2 linked regions of the Yarrowia lipolytica genome follow. The main gene of each other region encodes a partner of the protein of the gene in region 2 in a complex. Links are inferred from orthologs where the notes say so. Each region holds a gene or a part of one and is shown on either strand. Other genes may lie near its edges.

The links.
Region 1: YALI1_C28706g (region 2) and YALI1_E06137g share a complex: the UniProt entries of both Saccharomyces cerevisiae proteins name them as parts of the F-actin capping complex. The link is inferred for Yarrowia lipolytica from reciprocal best matches to the Saccharomyces cerevisiae genes CAP2 and CAP1.

Annotation. Positions count from the first base shown.
Region 1 is NC_090774.1:612,512-615,796, reverse strand, and holds YALI1_E06137g (uncharacterized protein), read left to right. Parts: upstream 1-1,781; coding exon 1,782-1,841; intron 1,842-2,056; coding exon 2,057-2,785; downstream 2,786-3,285. Other genes in the region: YALI1_E06158g (uncharacterized protein), read left to right, coding at 1-1,244; YALI1_E06119g (uncharacterized protein), read right to left, coding at 2,943-3,092. UniProt on the Saccharomyces cerevisiae protein: F-actin-capping proteins bind in a Ca(2+)-independent manner to the fast growing ends of actin filaments (barbed end) thereby blocking the exchange of subunits at these ends.
Region 2 is NC_090772.1:2,869,234-2,872,407, reverse strand, and holds YALI1_C28706g (uncharacterized protein), read left to right. Parts: upstream 1-1,671; coding exon 1,672-1,674; intron 1,675-1,788; coding exon 1,789-2,568; downstream 2,569-3,174. Other genes in the region: YALI1_C28716g (uncharacterized protein), read right to left, coding at 1-729; YALI1_C28686g (uncharacterized protein), read right to left, coding at 2,851-3,174. UniProt on the Saccharomyces cerevisiae protein: F-actin-capping proteins bind in a Ca(2+)-independent manner to the fast growing ends of actin filaments (barbed end) thereby blocking the exchange of subunits at these ends.

The sequences.
Region 1 (3,285 bases), on a different chromosome or scaffold from region 2:
AGGAAGAGCCCCTTGTGCAGAAGCTCCCTGAGCCCGATAGGGGCCGGGCTTGGATCGCCATGGTTGGAGGAGCTCTGGGTCTCTACTCATCATTTGGATACATCAACGTTGTGGGTCTTTTCGAGGCCTACTATCTGCATCATCAACTAGACGGCTACTCGGCATCGACCGTCTCGTGGATCACGTCTCTACAGTTCTTCATTCTGCTGGTTGGAGGAGTTTTCTTCGGAAGACTAGCTGAGATGTACGGGCCTCGGCCGGTGGCTATCGTCGGTATGCTCTTCACAGTGGGAGGAATCATGGCAACCTCTGAGTGCAAAACATACTACCAGTTCCTGCTGGCTCAGGGAATCTGCACGTCTATCGGAAACTCCTGTGTCTACTACGCATCAATGGTCGCGTGTAACACGTGGTTTGTCAAACGACGAGCTACCGCCCTGGGTGTGGTAGTTGGAGGTTCGTCGATTGGAGGTGTGACCCTGCCATTCGTCTTCTCTCAACTACAGCCTAAAATCGGATTTAATGACACTGTGAGAGTCATTGGATACATCATGCTTGGAGTGGGAGTCATCTGCTGTGTTTGCATCTCTTCTCGACTGCCTCCTAACAAGAAGTTACGAAAGAACTTCTTCAATTTCCGACAAGAGGTTATTGAACCCTACAAGAACAAGTCGTTCGCTATGATGACCGCGGCGCTGTTTGTTTCGTATTGGGGACTTGTCACAACCATGGGATACATGTCCACCCACGCTATTTCCCACGGCATGTCTGAAACAGTCTCCTTCTACCTCGTGGCAATCTACAACGGAGCCTCCTTTCTGGGTAGAATCTTGCCGGGTATAATGGCTGACAAGGTGGGTACTTACAACATGCATTCCGTATGCTGTGTTCTTTGTGGTATCATTCTTCTGGCTTTCTGGATCCCCTCCAACAGCAACGCGGCCTTCTTCACTTTCTCTGGAGTCTTCGGATTCATCTCTGGACCCTATATTGGTCTGTTTGCAGCTCTTGTGGCGGAAGTGTCCGAGCCACATGAAATTGGGAGGCGATTGGGTGTAGTCACCTTCTTCTGCTCCTGGGCAGCTCTTACTGCCATGCCTATTGCAGGAGCCACCCTGGACGAAGGACATACCAGCTTTGTCGGACTTCAGGTGTTTGCAGGAGTTACCATGATGGTAGGAGGATTCATGGTATTCGCAGCCAAGATGCTGGTCCCTGGACAGACATGGCTCTCCAAGTTCTAGCGTGGATGAAGGGCGAAGAAAACATGAATGAAGAGAAACGACAACTGGAAACTATAGAATCGCATTTAATATATGGAGTTTAGGGAATGATTGAGGCACAATTCCATCGTATACATTCACAACTATGGGAGATAGTTGAAATGGATAAAAAGGATAACAGAAGCTCAATACTGTAGTTGGTAGTGAAGTGACTTCGTCATTTTCACTTCTGCACGACTGTACTATTCTTGTTTTTTTTTCAGCATACTGTAATACCAACTTTCACTGTAAGTATTCGGTAAGTAAAGTGGTCAACTAATAAGGTTTGTCAAGTAACCGCTGTTCCTAGACTGCGAAGTCCGAGAACGGAGTCTGGACGAATACAACCGCACCGGTTATATTATCGACTCTTCTAAATTATTCTATTTGTTCCCTCCTACTCCAATTCCTTCACTCATCACCGCCAATATCAGTCCAAAAATAGCTCACTTATCACACGTATGCTAACTCTGTTGGTGGTGTGCATATACATCACCATCTCCTCAACACACCACACAAATGTCTCGATCGAACCAAGAAGCCCTGGCCGATTTCGTGGCCGACGCCCCTCCCGGAGAGGTGAGTATCAATTGTTGGCGGACGGATGTTGAGGATTCGTGCGCTGTCAGCACGGGCCTGATACGGAGTCTCCCCTGTATCAAGATGTACGGGTTATGTTGTCACGTCATTTACTTCGGTTGCTTGAACTTGAACTTGAAACGCGTGCCTTGATATCTTGCAGGCCGCTAATTAGATCCAATTGAACGTCTTTCTGTACCCCCATACTAACGCAGCTCAACCAGGTCGTTGAGGCCATCAGCACCGTCGTTGATGGAAACAGCTCGATTCTGTCCAAACTGGAAACCGACGTTCACAACAAGATTCTCGACCAATGCATGGTTGTGTCTCTCGGCAAGTCCAAGTCCCTGGTCTCTAAATATAACCAGCTTTCCAAGGACACCTTCTATGACAGCCAGAGTGGCCAGAAGTTCGAGTTCGATTTTGATACAAAGAAGGCCACCCCCTCGGGCTCCCATGGCTCTGACTCGCCCATCCAAGGGGCTCTCGATAAGTACTTTTCTGCCCACTTCCCCTCCGAGGGGGCTGCTGGGGTTTTTCCTCAGGATGACGGATCTATCGCCCTTGTGCTTGTGGATGGCAAGTATAACCCTGCCAACTACTGGAACGGAAAGTGGCGGTCTGTGTACATCTTCGAGAGTGGCTCTCTGAGCGGAACAATCGACGTGGATGTGCATTACTACGAGGACGGAAATGTCCGTCTCAAGTCCAGCGAGAAGGTGGACCTTGGTTCTGTGTCCGAATCTGACATTGTGGACGCCATCTCCAAAGCCGAGCAGCAGTTCCAGGAGAAGCTCAACAAGTCATTTAACGGTCTAAACGAGGATTCGTTTAAGGCCCTGCGACGACAGCTGCCCGTGACTCGATCTAAGATCAACTGGGGCAAATCCATCTCCAACTACCGGCTGGGTAAGGATATTAACGTTGGTGGAGGACGAGAGTAAGTAAACAGCGCTCTCTGTTTATATAGGATAAGGCTTTGCGTATTATGAGATCAGTACGTGGGTATCGGTACTGTGGTGTTACGATCAATCTTCTTAGTTATAAACACAGCGCCGAACGCGCTCATGGTACTACCAGTACTTCTACTCTCCTCATGCATTAAAAAAACTTGAACAGAAACCACAGCAGGAGAATGATGGCCAGAGCAATGCCAACAGTTCGCCAGATGGGGTGTCCGGCCTTGAGCGACCGTCCAAGCTTGGAAGCAGACCCTCGGACCGAGGTCATCATGTTTCCAACAGTGTCCGTCTGGGTTAGTAGGGTAAAAGAAGTGAGGTTTTGGACTGGGTGAAATGTCTAGGAAGGGTACAATCGCCCCGGTACTGCATTCCTTTGAGGTTCCCCTGCTCCACGATACAGGAAAAAGGAGTTGAAGCCAGCTGAGGACGTCCTAGACACATAATAATACCATAGATGAAACCAGCAGATCGAGAGAATGCCA
Region 2 (3,174 bases):
ACTGCATGCACATTTGTAAGCACCTGTTGCACAGTCTCGAAGAACAGGCTCCACGGGCTTAATTCCCTTGGGAGGGTAGTTTTTGTCCTTCTCATCTTCGGGCCAGGGGAAGTTGATTTGAAAGGGGGAACCTCCGAGCATGGGTTTTTCGTCCCCCAGAAACTTGAGAAAGTTCTTGTATCCGTGTCTACCGCCTCCTAACAGGTCCATGGCGTAGCCGTTGGTCGCCGAGAACTTGATGTCTTTACACGAGTCGTAGAACCCCTGAGCCCACTCTGGTTTCACATAGTAACTCAACTCTGTCACGATATCTCGTCCGTCTGTCGATTTGCCCAGTTGTGTCACATTAACGTAGTCGCGCTGGTCAGGGGCACATGTGAACTTGCAGAAGAATTCGTAAAAATTGGACTTGCAAGCCGGACACGATGAAATCAGACCATCGGCCTTCTTCAGCGAGTTCTTCAGATCCTTGATCTGCGCCGTATCACAACATAAAAGTTTCTCGTGTGTCCAAACCTCGCCGCAGATCTCTCCTAGCAGATCCAGATCCCCCTTGGAAGGCTCAAACGGACCAGCCTTGTCTTGTGGTGTCGGACAGGGTAGTTCGCTGCCGAATAGTGATTTCTTTCCACAGTTGCCGTATATGCTGCATCCTGCCGACTGAACAGGGCTTGTGAGTGTAAGAAACACCAGCAATACCGATATTACCGTCGGAATGAGTCTCTTCATCGTTCTAGTGCGTTTCGTGAAGACGGTTAGTTGCTCCACCAAGTAGGTTGGAACATGCACGATAATGCATAGGGTTAGGGAACACGGCGATGGTGAAACAGGGCGAGACAAGGTGGAAGATGGAAAGATGAATGGGTGGTGATATAGTAGACAATGCTGAGACGCTCGGTTCCGTTGGTAGGATGGTATACATTATCAGTCGAGATCTTGTCCATAAAATATACATAAAATATACATAAAATATACATAAAATATACCTCTGTATTACATAATCTGATAATGTAACTACAAGTCGCGATGGAAGGTGTAATTATTTAACTCCGGAGTATAGACAATACAAATTGGCGTTTGGTGCTTGGGTCGTGTTTCGAGATAAGGAAAGGCCGTATTTGTCAGGATTTCGTCGTATGCTGGTAAGTGTTTCCCGAGGCTCGGTATCAGTGTGTCATTCAGCCGTCTTCAATGTGTCATTCGGTCTTTTTAAGTACAACCACCAGTCAAAACGTGTCCCAGCTTACACTTCAACTACTTATTGGGTTATATTCAGAAACTGAATTTTCGCTATAAATTTTAATTTCTCTTTTGAAATTTTAGACGGGAGTTACTTGAAACTTAACTGAGGTAAATTAAATTAGTTTCACCCATGACAAAATAATGCCACAGATAGCAATTAGAACACTTATAGCCCTATTTAAAGGGTAATTAATGCCACCATTTCCTCCAACAACCTCGACACCCCCACACCCGCGACACTCACTCTACAACACCCTCCTCCAGCTCCCTACTTCTGCTTCTTATGTTCCTACGTTTTTCCCAAAATAAACTTTCCCCAATCCCACTACTTGTAGTAACGCACGACTAATGCATGCGGTGTTAACAGCAGTGGATATCTGAACATCATCATCACAACAGTACAGTACAGTACATACCCAACCGTCCACCATGGTGAGTAACAGACACAATTCGGACTGACAGTAAACATGGCAGTCACGTGGCATTGCGCCCCATAGATTCCACGTGATCTTCCTCCCCCCGGCCGTCGCGCAATCGCTAACCCAGTCTGACGAACAATACGACGCTGCTCTGTCTCTTCTGCGACGATTGGATCCCAAAAACGTCAGCGTCAACCTCAATTCCCTGTGCAAGATTGCTCCGGAACTTGCGGAGGACCTGCTGTCTTCCGTCGACCAGCCTCTCGGTGTCAAGACCTGCAAATCCACCAAAAAGGAGTACCTGACTTGCGACTACAACCGAGACGGCGACTCGTTCCGATCCCCATGGTCCGGCGACTACGAGCCCGCAACAGACGGCCCCACGCCCTCGGCGGCTCTGCGCAAACTCGAGGTTCTCGCCAACGACTCCTTTGACATCTACAGAGACCTGTACTACGAGGGAGGAGTCTCTTCGGTCTACCTGTGGGACCAGGGCGAAGGAGACAATACTAACAGCTTTGCCGGCGTTGTGCTGCTCAAGAAGACCTCGCCCTCGTCGTCCTGGGACTCCATCCACGTCTTTGAGGTTGAGACCAGCCGTGGAGAGGGGATCTACCGGGTCACATCCACCGTGATTCTCGATCTGGGCTCCAAGTCCCCCAAGCTCGGCCTTTCCGGTAACCTGACTCGACAGACCGAGCGAGAGATGGCTGTCGATGAACCCTCTCAGCATATCGCAAACCTCGGAAGCATTGTTGAGGACGTGGAGTCCAAGCTGCGAAACCAGCTGCAGGAGGTGTATTTCGGCAAGGCCCGGGACATTGTGGGCCAGGTGCGATCTCTGGGCGGCGTTGAGGACGCCAAGCAGAAGCAACGACAGGAGGAGGTCATCAAGGGTCTGCAGTAATGCAGCAATGATGGTATGGATATATAATGGATGAAATGACTAATTGGCGTGTATGTGTAGTCGTGACAAGTACAGCTGGGTTGCTACCGTCCGGCATGAGTCTTCGCAGTAACAGGCACCATCTGTAAGAGTGATACCGGTATCATAGCAGGGAAGTAGTTGGGTGCATCCGATTTTATCGTGTTATACTCACGTCTGTCTTCTCTTCAGTCACTACATATTGTTCCATACACACTGGCTACTCTCAATAAATAACTATTCTCGTCTATACTTTATCTCACTCTATTCTTGCACTTGTCCGTGGATGTGCTTGAGATGTTCATGTTTCTCCTTGTTGCTGGCGAAACCGACAATGGAGCGAGGACACTGTTTGTGATCGCAGAAGATCTTGAGTCGGAAAGTCCGATGTTTAACGTCAAGATGGGTGGCCAGGCGAACCACGTTTGCGAATCGAGTCTTTTTGGCGTACGAGCGGCATTTGGAGCAGTACAGACGTTCGCACGCGTCTTGCTGAGCACCTTCATACAGCCCATGTTCCAGGAGCTGTTCTACCAGGGTTGGTTCAGGAGTAGGCGGAGGGGGTTTGACTGGAGGGGGTCTGGCTGG